3 linked regions of the Canis lupus familiaris genome follow. The protein of the gene in region 2 binds, or shares a complex with, the protein of the main gene of each other region. Links are inferred from orthologs where the notes say so. Each region holds a gene or a part of one and is shown on either strand. Other genes may lie near its edges.

Evidence for each region. Proteins that work in one complex are often made in the same cells at the same time.
Region 1: TXNL4A (region 2) and SNRPG share a complex: the UniProt entries of both Homo sapiens proteins name them as parts of the U4/U6-U5 tri-snRNP complex. The link is inferred for Canis lupus familiaris from reciprocal best matches to the Homo sapiens genes TXNL4A and SNRPG.
Region 3: the proteins of TXNL4A (region 2) and PQBP1 are in contact, whole or in part, in a crystal structure (PDB 4BWQ), measured with the Homo sapiens proteins. The link is inferred for Canis lupus familiaris from reciprocal best matches to the Homo sapiens genes TXNL4A and PQBP1. Residues at the interface, in NP_006692.1 of Homo sapiens: Gly11, Trp12, Val14, Asp15, Ile18, Asp68, Phe69, Met72, Tyr73, Glu74, Met82, Phe84, Asn87, His89, Met91, Gly97, Asn98, Asn99, Asn100, Lys101, Leu129; in NP_001027553.1 of Homo sapiens: Gln241, Gln242, Arg243, Pro244, Tyr245, Pro246, Ser247, Pro248, Gly249, Val251, Leu252, Ala254, Asn255.

Annotation. Positions count from the first base shown.
Region 1 is NC_049231.1:70,135,037-70,139,056, forward strand, and holds the start of SNRPG (small nuclear ribonucleoprotein G), read right to left. Parts: upstream 2,809-4,020; 5' UTR 2,757-2,808; coding exon 2,725-2,756; intron 1-2,724. UniProt on the Homo sapiens protein: Plays a role in pre-mRNA splicing as a core component of the spliceosomal U1, U2, U4 and U5 small nuclear ribonucleoproteins (snRNPs), the building blocks of the spliceosome.
Region 2 is NC_049222.1:699,708-703,123, reverse strand, and holds the end of TXNL4A (thioredoxin-like protein 4A), read right to left. Parts: intron 922-3,416; coding exon 750-921; 3' UTR 503-749; downstream 1-502. UniProt on the Homo sapiens protein: Plays a role in pre-mRNA splicing as component of the U5 snRNP and U4/U6-U5 tri-snRNP complexes that are involved in spliceosome assembly, and as component of the precatalytic spliceosome (spliceosome B complex).
Region 3 is NC_049260.1:42,260,227-42,264,397, reverse strand, and holds the start of PQBP1 (polyglutamine-binding protein 1), read right to left. Parts: upstream 2,809-4,171; 5' UTR 2,649-2,808; intron 2,383-2,648; 5' UTR 2,349-2,382; exon of another isoform or gene 2,345-2,348; intron 2,232-2,344; 5' UTR 2,214-2,231; coding exon 2,147-2,213; intron 654-2,146; coding exon 542-653; intron 275-541; coding exon 162-274; intron 1-161. Other genes in the region: TIMM17B (mitochondrial import inner membrane translocase subunit Tim17-B), read left to right, coding at 2,980-3,005, 3,875-3,974. UniProt on the Homo sapiens protein: Intrinsically disordered protein that acts as a scaffold, and which is involved in different processes, such as pre-mRNA splicing, transcription regulation, innate immunity and neuron development.

The DNA of each region.
Region 1 (4,020 bases), on a different chromosome or scaffold from region 2:
GATCCTGGGATTGAGTCTCACAAAGGGCTCCCTGCTCAGTAGGGAGTCTGCTTCTCCCTCTACCCCTCTCCCTGCTCATGTTCTCTCAAATAAATAAACAAAAATCTTTAAAAAAAATTTGAGAGAGCACTTGCAAAAGTGGGGTAGGGGCAAAGAGAGAGACTATCAAGCAGACTCCTTGATGAGCGTGGAGACCCACAGGGGGCTCCATCTCACCACCCATGAGATCATGATCTGAGCTGACACCAAGAGTTGGACACCTAACCAACCGAGCCATTCAAGCACCCCTGAAATTTCATGCAATTTTAATGTATGAGAGAATTCAAAGGTAAGTTAAGACACAGGCCTGGGGCACCTGGGTGGCGCCTCCTTTGAGCACCTGAGTTTTGGCTTAGGTCATGATCTTGGGTTGTGAGATGGAGCCTCAAGTAGGGCTCCATGCTCAGTGCAGAGTCTGCTTGTCCCTCTCCCTCTGTTCCTCCCCTCACATGCTCTCTAATAAATGAAACCTTAAAAAAAAAACACCCCAAAATACGTTGTAGTATATATAAAATAATTTAATAGGATATATATAAAAGACAGCAAATAGAACACATATGAACTTATTTAGCCCTAAGTGAGATCTTGTTATTATCACTATTTTACAGATGAGGAACCAAGGGTCAGAAAGATTTTCTAAAGTCACATAGTAAGAAAGTTTGAGCAAATGCAAATGGTTCATTTTGGCTGTAGAATGGGATACTCCACACTAGTGTGTGTCATATTTGGCACCTTGCATTTCAGATGGAAGAGCCTGAACGCCGTGCCAACAAGTCTACACTTTACTGTTCAGATAGTCATAAATTATTAAAGCAGAGTCCAGTCATTGGCAATACCACCATGGCAGTGATTTTTAGGAAGTGGGATGGAGAATTTGGTTAGGTCTCAGTATCTCCACCCCGGCCTAGTAACATCTGGGGCCAGGTAACTCTGTTGAGTGATGTCCAGCGCGTTGTACAATGTTCAGCAGCATCTCTAGCTTCTACTCACTAGCGGCCTGCCAGTAGAAACAGGCTCCCTACCCCACAGTTAAGAACCACTGAATTAAGCTAAACCAGGAGGAGGGCATAAAAGAGTAGAAAATATCTGTGAAGAAATAAAAGAGAAAAAAAATTGAAGGTCATTTTGGAGGATGGTCTCAAAGTACATGAGATCGAGAGATGAGAGAAATTATTAAAACCAGTTTCATCCTGTGAAATTCTCAAATATCTGTTAAGAAACAAAAGCACCTGTTAAGAAATGAAAAAGGTAATCTAAGATTACAAGTAGAGGATGGTTCTTTTGCTAAAAATAATTAGCATCTCACCAGTTCGTGAAGAACCCAGAGAATACTTCTAAGGTTTTGCCAAGTCGTCAAGGAAAGAGAGTTTTAGACAGAACTCCAAAATAAGTTGTATTTTTCTTAACGTCGGGCTCACGATGAACACTTCAACAGACCCAGCTAAAATACACGGAGTTCTTGCACAAAAAATGGCTTTGATACAAATATGCATTTCAATGTAAAACTATTTTTTTTCTTTAAAAGATTTACTTGAGAGCGAGAACCAGAGAGAGAGAGAGAGTGCGCGTGCGAGCGAGCAGGCGAGCAGTGGGGAGGGGGCAGAGAAGGAGGAGACACACCAAGCCGACTCCACGCTGAGCCCAGAGCCCACCGGGGCTGATCTCACCAGCAGATCAGGATCTGGGCTGAAACCAAGAGTGGGACCCTTAACCGACTGACCACCAAGGCGCCCCTAAATGCACAATTTCCTGGGCAGCCCGGGGGTGGGGGGGGGTGGGGCTCAGCGGTTGTGCGGCTGCCTTTGGCTCAGGTCGTGACCCCAAGGTTCTGGGATCGAGTCCTGCGTCGGGCTCCCTGCATGGAGCCCGCTTCTCCCTCTGCCTGTGTCTCAAATAAATAATAAAAAAAATCTTAAAAAAAAAAAAAAAAAGCACAATTACTAAATACGGCTTTTTCTTGCAGTCTGACTCCTCCACGAGGCTGGCAGGACGTGACCCACGCACAGGGCGGACGGCTGTTTCACAAAGCGACCCCCGGGTCCCGTTCTCCTGTTCTGCGCTACCACGTGCAGAAATCCTGGGACTGCGCGGCGGACACGAGACGGAGGCACTCGGGAGGCCCTGCACACGCTCGGCCCAGCGTCCCCGAGCCCGGGCCCACGCAAGTAGGAACATCCGGTTTTGAGGGGATTTTTACTGGATGCAGGAAAAAAGAAAAAAACTTACTTTTCTTGGATTAAAAAAAAAGAAAAAAATGAACGTTCCCCCACAGCGCTGTTAACAGATCACGTGACATCCAAGTCTTAACTTCTGCACAAGATCAAAAAAAAATTTATTTTTTTTAAATTTTCATCTATTCATGAGAGACCCAGAGAGAGAGAGAGAGACAGAGAGACACAGAGAGAGAGAGAGAGGCGCAGAGACCCGGGCGGAGGGAGGAGCAGGCTCCACGCAGGGAGCCCGACGCGGGCCTCGAACCCGTGACCCCGGGTCACGCCCTGGGCCGCGGGCGGCGCTAACCCCGCTGGGCCCCCGGGCGCCCCGGAGGGAGATTCCGAGAACAGAGCTCAAGGAAACCGCCGCCCCGCCCCGTCCTCGCGCCCCGCGGAGCCGCTCTGCCGCCCCCCGAGCGGGGCCCCGGCGCACGGACGCCGCCACCCGCACGCGGCCCTCCCGCGTACTCACTTTTTCAGCTCGGGAGGGTGAGCCTTGCTCATGGCGCCGACTCGGCGAGCTCGCAGAGGCCTCCACACGGCTCCCTCACGCTCCCGCCGCTTGGCGCCTGACGTCACCGGCCCCCGCCGCCAATCAAACGCCGGCAGAGGTCACATTCCCTCCCGCGATACTTTGAGGGCGCCCCCGGACTTGCCGAACGCCCGCGAGTTTCCGGTTGCGTTGCCAGCGATTGGCCTGCATGGGGCTACATGGGGTGGGACTTCCGGTCGCCTCCTCAATTCCGTTTCCTGATTGGTGAAACTGACGTAAGGGCTGGGTCTCTAAGTCGTCGGCGCAGCTGGCGGATCCCTCGCTTTGCGACCTGCGCGGGTTAGCGTCCTCGCACGTGCCCAGTGCGCACGCGCTCGGGAGGGCTGGGCTCTGGTCCTGCCAAGGTCGATCAGCCTGCGGTGCCCCCGCATCGGGCGCTCTGCTCCTCCCTTCTGCCTGTGTCTCTCGTTAATAAATAAAATCTTAAAAAAAAAAAAAAAAAAAAAAAAGACTTAGGCCTCGGTGATTCTGAGTAGAGGATGATTCTCCAAAATTCAGTTCCTCCCTAATGTCCAGGAATGGCTCTATTTAAATACGAATAAAAGACTGAGCCTCATTCTAGCACTCAAAATCCTACAGGTGGCATTTGCCCAACTTCCCACCTCTCGCTGCTTACAAGCAGCTACGGTCCCGAAATGGATGGTTTAGCCTTCCCACGGTTATTTTTACATTAATGGACTCCGAGTCCCAGGGCCTTAGCTTGTCCTGTTTTCCCCCATTTACAATGAACCAGTCCCGCGTCTGAATCACAGCGAGTTTTTACTCTTCACGACGTCTTCAGACACTTATTTTACACATTACAAAGAGAAGCATCCTAAGAAAGTTGTAGATTCACTGCTCGCATACGAGAGACGCCGTAGTGGAGGAAAAAACTAAACCTTATTTATTTTTTAAAACTGAACCACTAGGAAAATAGATCACAGACTTGAGACACCCAACGCAGGCTATATCATCATTTCAAGTACTAAGTTGGTAAAAAGACAGTAAGGTCTTTATCAAAATGAAAAGGTGCTAGAGCTGGGGCAGGAACACGGCTTGCTGCAAAGGTCCTGGGGCAAGGGTGGCATTTGGTAATGGGGTGGGGGGTTGCCCCTCTTCTGCTTTAAAGGGATCACAGCCCACCCTTGAGTTGCCTACTTTTTCTCCTTTGACCTTCCTGTCACCAAGTGATTGTCTGAATAGGACTCTGTTATTTTGGGGGCAAAATAAGCAATA
Region 2 (3,416 bases):
TTTTTTTACAACATGCCCTTATTTGGAGATGGGTCATCACAAATGTAATCAGTTAAGATAAGGTCATGCTCCTGTGGGGTGGTCTTCTCCAGTGACCAGCGTCCTTAGAAGAGGAAATTTGGACACAGACACACATGCAGCGAGAAGGCCATGTGAAGGTTGTGAAGGGGCAAAGATTCAAGCCACAGGATGCCAAAGATCGGCAGAAATTAGCAGAATCTAGGAGAGGGGCAGGGAACAGATCCATCACAGCCCCAAGGAACCAGCCCTGACCTGACCACACCCGGACCCGAGGCTCTGGCCTTCAGATTGGCAAGGCAACTCATTTCCATTGTCACCCAGTCTGTGCCACTTTGTTCTGGCAGCCCTGGAGAACTCACATGGATTCCTACTGCCACATGGGTAAAACATGGTGAATTCTACTCCAGTGCTAAAGATGACGATTAGTCTCCAACTGCCCAAACCAGTTATCTGTACGGCAAGGTTCATAAGAAATAAGCAATTATGACTTTCCATCACTGTGTACTTTATTCGTGTCAGCTAGGTATTTACAAATATTTGCTAATATAAAAATACAATGGCCAGACAGGCAAAGAGTTGATGCCATGCAACCCTTACTACAAAGACCCTCCAAGTCCTTGAGCTTTGAATTCACTTCCAAACGCTTTCTCTAAGGCTTTAAATAGTTTCAAATATTTCCATGTGAAAACAATTCTGCACCACTTCTGTGCACGGAGACTGGGCTGAGCTCAGTATCTGTATTTCGTGGAGTAGTCCTTTGGAGACACAACCAGGCCGCGGCCCTTCCGGGCGCCCCGGTACACAGTCTCGATGATGTCTATCATTTCCTGTTTGTCTTCCATGGCCCAGTTGATCTTGTTGTTGTTACCAGTACCCAGGTCAATCATGATGTGCTTGTTCCTGCAAAGAGGACATGGGGGGGAGGGGTCAGTGCTCACAAAAATCCTTCTAAAAACAGTTCCATAAAAAAAAAAATGCCATTTCCTACCATCTCAGGCTCTTGTTAAACATCAGTGAAGACAAGAACACAGTCAAGAGGATCCACCATGATTTAGAAGATGGAAATAATGTAAACACTATCTTAACACAGCCATGCTTGGTGCAAGCTCCTTCTGTATACTCTGCGACTCCCTCAGGACCCATGTCCTCTGGGGAGCTGAAAGGTCAGAGGGCACAGTTCTAGTCACTTGGACAGTAATAGCATTTTCTGGGGCAGAGGGGTGGCGGAGTGGGGATTTACTTCAGAAACACATGATATATTTTTTTAAATTTTTATTTATTTATGATAGTCACACAGAGAGAGAGAGAGAGAGAGAGGCAGAGACACAGGCAGAGGCAGAAGCAGGCTCCATGCACCGGGAGCCCGACGTGGGATTCGATCCCGGGTCTCCAGGATCGCGCCCTGGGCCAAAGGCAGGCGCCAAACCGCTGCGCCACCCAGGGATCCCAACACATGAGATTTTCATGGCACTCTTGGGAGCTCTGGGCGTATACTTTACTAAAGGCCCCAGTGGCCTCAGAATTTTTAAAAAGCCCTTATTGTGAAATTAGTATATTTTGCATTCCTACAATCAGGGAAGTAGACGATATTTTACGAATTTGTTTTTTAAAAGGATACTTTAAAAAATGATCTTGTATGTGCACTTGACAAAGAGAGTAATCTTTTCTGTCCTTGGTGCACTGTTTTCCCCAGGTCTGCTGAACATTAATTTGTTTTCACTAATTTAACTTTTCACTTGAACAAGAATGAAGCGCTCTGTCCTGCAGTCTCTGCTTTGGACACCTTTCAACCAGAGCGAGCATCCAAAAAGGCAAATTTGATGCTTCTCTACTGCGAACACTCACTTGCAGGGTAACACTGCGCACCCGCACTCGGGCCCAGGGATCTGCTCCTTCTTACCACCAGTGTGCCAGCCATTCTGTGTCCCTACGGGACACCAAACACCTGACTGTTCATGCCCACACTAGCCCCTAGGAATGCATGTGCTCTTTCTAAACTTACTTAGTACTTGTGTCTCTATAAATACCTATCCTCTGGCCCTTCTGTGTCCTTTTGCTAGTCTACTCAGCTGTGGCCAACCCATGAAGCTCAGTGATGGCAGGAACCCTGCTGTATCTGACTTGATGTCCTGGTGGAGACCACAAAACCTGGCAAGACTCAATATATGCATTTGGTGAAAAAATCAACAGCAGTACTGATGTGCCTCATCTTAGAATTCTGGGTCACAGGAAGAGCAGAAGGAGGGTCCGTATTCTCTTCTGAGGCAGTGCTCTGGTTCGGCTGCCACAGGCAGCAGGAGGCTGGACCCAAGACAGCCTCATAAGTCGCACCTGATGGCCTGGGGAGAGTTTTGAGCAGCACGAGAAAAGGCCTAGGCTGCCATGAAGAGCTGTCAGTAGAAACACGATCTGAAGAGCGCGGGTGCCTAGGGCAGCAAGGAACACAAGGCTGGGATAGAGGAAGGGCCTCGATACTTGGTGGCTGGACATCAGTGACCCTGTCCTGTGGTTCTGGAGAAGCAGAAGTCACAAGGATGCACTTGGATGGTCAACGAAGGAACTATCAAGCCAAGTCCTGCAGGGGCTGCCTGGTTTCTCCCCACTGCGGACAGCAAAGCAAGGAACACGGGTGTAAGACCCACGAATGCCCCTCAGCAGATACCAGATCCAGGAATGACCTTCTGCGGAAGCCCCAGGAAGCTCTGTGGCCGGAATGCTCAGTCCCAATGAAGAACAGTGTGCCCCACCGTCTTTGCAGATGCCCGGGGCAGGGACTTGGGCTGCAGGGACGGACAGTGCAGGCAACAAACCCCAGGGGCTACGGCTGAAGCAGGGTGGGAAGCCGCCCCATGGCACATGCCTTTCCTAGAAGAGGCTGGGAAGCCCCGGCTGAACTGTCCCAGGGCCCCTGAGAAATCAGAGCTGCTTCCTCTGCTGCCCTACTGGGTGCTGCCCTACTGGGTGCTGGGGAGCCGAGGTCACGCAGGATGGGTGTCCAGGAGCCCAAGAGGCCTCAGTCTTACTGATTTTGCTTAGGGGAAGGATGTGCATCTGTGGACCCGGAGTGCACACTATGGCAGACAAAACCCTACACTCAACCCTGAGAAGTTCCTGCCCTCATCCCTGGGATGGTGATGTGATGAGATGCCAATGCTCAGCAACATTACAGACACATAGGGTTGGGCAGGTGACCCCGAAGGTTACAGATCCACTGACTTTAAAATAAGGGGATGATCCTGGATTATCTGGGTGAGATAATTGCCGGCATAGCAGAAGCAGAACAGGGTAGCGCAGAGACAGTGCAAGCCCCGAGATGGAAGGGGCTCAGGAACAGGGGGCCCCAGCACGCAGCCAGCGAGGACACAGCGGCTTCACACCCACAGCCATAGGAAGTG
Region 3 (4,171 bases), on a different chromosome or scaffold from region 2:
ACCCAGCAGCCTCTGCCGTCGACCACCTCCCTTGCCTGGGGGGGGGGGCCTTCCCATCTCCCCAGCCCCATGCCTGCTCCACTATCATGTACCTGACCCCTCTCTGAGGACTCCAGAAGCACTTGGGGCACCCTTATCTGCCCTTGGGTCTGCCAACTCACCTGCATTATTGCTCCTGAGTTTCTTGGCAGATTTGGTAACGACGGAGTTGGGGTCATGCGGGGAGAGCCAGGATACGAGGTCGGTGTCCACATTCCAGTAGTAAGGGAGCCCACTGTGGGGCAGTGGGATAGAAGTATGGACACAGGGAAGGAGGAAGGGGAGGGGTATCAACACAGACGTCCTCTCCTTGTAGCCTCCACTCCTGTCTCCCCAGTCTCTATCTATGCCTGCCCCATGTCAGAAGCCCAGAAGGAGGACCCCCAGACCTCTTTCCTGTGTTCCCCATTTACCCTAAAGCCAGGCAGGCCCAGAGCCAGCACAGGAAAGGTCAAGTCAGATGTCAGACTCTCCGCCCCCCGCCCCAGTTCCCCAGGCTCACCAGGATGGGTCAAACACTTTGTACCAGCTTGGTGGCAGGCCCTCCAACCGGGTGGCCTCATAGTCCACAGGGTCATCATCGTAGTCCTCAGCAATAATCTCTTCCTCTGGTTCTGGCAGGATAGCAGGGTGGAGGAAAGCAGTAAGGACCAGAGGAATTCTTATCCTGCAGTCAGAGCCTGGAGACACGCTCAGACTCACATGGACCATGTGTGTGCGTGTGCCAGGTCTCACCTTCTATGGCAAATATCACATTCCAAATCCAAGTGTCTGAAGATCAGGGGATTTGCCAAAAAACTTACCTAAATCTGTTCTGTTTCTGGGTTCAGATAAGATTTGAGATTTGATATCCTGTTACCGAAACCTATCTGGTTTCAGATTTTAGACAAGGATTCATCAAAACAAATGTATCCTCCAGTTCCTGAGTTCAGGAAGCATGTGACACCACGCTATCCCAATCTATTTGGATAAAATGAGTTTGAACAGTAAGCGGTTTATCTGAAAAACAAAATGCCCAAATCTATTCAGCTCCCAAGCTTGGTAAATATGGGGTTTCTGATTCTGTATATTGAGTAGCAAGTCTGGATGGGAAAGGATATATCCAAACACTGCTCCGCATCCATTCAGTTCCGAGGCCTGACATACAGCAGGCCTACAACAGCTGTCAGTTACTATCAGTAGAATAAAAGAGATGTATGTTGTCAGCTCGGTACATGACCCTCAGTAGACCTATGACAGATTTTGGCTGTGGACATAACTGACAATGAAATGTATATGTCAGCAACAGCATAGTGCCTGTCACACAATAGGCCCAAAGTGAGTATTAGCTATAATCATCAGAATTGTTAGTAAGAGATATATACCATCAGCACAGGGCCTGGTACTCAACAGGCTTAAAATTAGCAACGACTGTTACCAGTATTATTAACCACAAGATCTATATGCCTGGCACAGAGTAGCTTGTAACAGATGTCATTTATTAATAAGGTGAAAATAAGATGTAATCCAGTGCCTAGCACACTGCAGCCCAAAACAGATGCCAGTTTTTACCATGATCGATAATAAGGTGTAAATATTAGCAGGAACAGCACAGCAGGTAGAAATGATAGATCCTACCATCATTTTCTACCACTATGTGTATGCCAAGCACCTAGACCCAAAATACATGTCAGCAATTGATATGGTGATCAATAAGGTATAGATCACCAACATAGTGCCTGGCCTCACAACACGTCTAAAATAATGTGATCAGTAGCGTAAAGAACCCAGTATCCGCATCCCCCCTACCGTCTAGGGAAAATGTCAGCTCTCCTTACTGTCAGCTACTTTATAATAACTTCCACGGATCGTCTGATGGATTGCGCGTGGCATACAACAGACCCCAAAAAGGCATTAACTGTCAATATTAAGGATGAAACATGTATTCCCCACCCCCACCCCAGCCCGCGGTAGGAATGGATATCAGAAATCCACACCGTTAACAATACACGCCACGCCACTGACTGATGCGCGGTAGGCCCACGCTAGGTATCGAGTGGCGGTATCAACAACGAAGTGCCTGTCAAGCCAGGCACATTGTAGGCCCAACCGCTTTTAGCTCACTCACCGGGCTCCAGATGTTTGAGGATGCCTCTCTTGGCCAAGCGGGTCTGCAATGCAACAGGCAGCGGCATAGCGGATAACAGGCAGACCTAGGGACAGACGGATGAACAGACACGCTCACAAAAAACAACCCAGCTCAAGTGAGGATTCAAATCCCGACCTAAAACCGAGCGCCTCCTCCCGGCATATATCCCTCACTTACCCACCTGCACCAATGGCTGGGTAGACGGAACCTACAGGCTAAAAGATGGAATATAAGTGGCGATGACACCCAAACTCTCACCAACCCTCCCCTCGAGGCTGGGTGTTCCAAGACCCTGTTCCTCGCCCAGGCCCAGGCTCCGCCCACCGCCGAAGGGGCCAAGCTCAGTTCCCCCGCGCTCCCGGAATGAGCTCACCCAACGTCCCCCAAAGACTGCTGGGTGGGAGGAACCAAAGCGCTGGGACGGGGGAGCAAAATGAAGCACCTCTTCCGGCTGCAAAAAATGCGCCCACCCTGACATTACCAATGCAATCACGCGAGCAGTGGAAAGCTGACAGGTCGGCCACCTCTCTCTCGTCCCCGCTAGGATCACGAGAACCACACGACGGCCTTCTCCCAAAACACCAAAAGAGGTCCTCTCTCCCCGACGCTTGAGGTATCTGGGCGACGCACAGGCTGCAGTGGAGATGACGCAAACTCGGTGGCCAATGAGAGCGTGTCCCTGCCCTGATGAGCAGCAACACGACCCAATCGGTGGCCTGGAATAGGTGGACAGCTCGGCGCCTGTGTGCGTTTACAGTGGGGGCGTGGCCTGGCCGGGCTTTAGCCGGACTGCGCGGCCAGACGCCGGCGCCATGGAGGAGTACGCTCGGGAGCCTTGGTACGGCGATGGGCACAGGCCTCGGGACTGTTGCTGCGGCGCCACCGCCAGCTGTGGGAGGCGGGCGGGGGAGGCGCTGGCCACACCGCGCCACGTCCCAGACTCGGGAGACTCTTAGACGTTTGTGGTCTCCTTCCGCTCCCCTCCGCTTCGTTCCTCTCACTCGGGCTCCGTTAAGAGAGGCCGCAGCTGTGAGCCCGGAGAAGGTGCGGTGCAGGGACCAACCACTCAACGTTTCCTCAGACTCCGTATCCCCTCCCCCGTCCCTCTTTGTTGAGGAAAAGAGACACGCTGGTCGAATCCATTCCAGCTTGGGGGGTGGTGCGGGGTCGAGCGGAAATCCCCAGGGTTACCACGCGTGGCTTTTCCCAGGTCGCTTTAGTGGATGGGGGCGGGGCTGGGTGAACCTGTGGCGGACGGACTGGATCCTCCCCACGGCCTGCGCTTGGTTTTTCCCAGTTGTGATCGGTTAAAAGAGAGGGAAGACGGGATTTGGTTGGACGTGCTCATCGTCGGGGACGGAGGTGCGACCCCGTCCTGCTTTAATAACAGTACTAGCAAATTAACACTTTCACAGCGCTGACTTAAAGGTGCTGACTCTGCGTGTCTCATCAGTTCATTTAGTCTTTGATAGTGGTAAAGCAGTTGGCGAATTCCTTGCTTGGCCTCGAAGGAGGGGCGGGCGAGCAAAGACTAATGCTTTTCCCCTTTTGCACCATTTCTTGCTCAGACGAGGGGAGAAATAATCTCATTATTTGAAGTGCTGCTTCCCATTCGGGTGACTTGGTCTCTCCCAATTGGAAAGAATCCGTGCACCATGGCGGGGGAAGAGGGGCTCACTTAACCCACCCTCCCCTTTTGGCTTGCAGCCCATGGCGAATTGTGGACGATTGCGGTGGAGCCTTCACTATGGGTGTCATCGGCGGTGGAGTCTTCCAGGCCATCAAGGGCTTCCGCAATGCCCCTGTCGTGAGTCGTGGCCTTCCCTGGGTAGTGTGGGGGTCCTGCCATGCCCACATGGGATACTGCGATGAACACTGCGTGGAGCTGCCATAACTCGCTCATTACGGTGCGGCTAGCCTACTATGTGCCAGGCCTGACTCCAGGATCTGTGGTTTGGGGTGAACTGCAAACACGGCTCTCTGTCCCTCTCCCTGCACCACCCA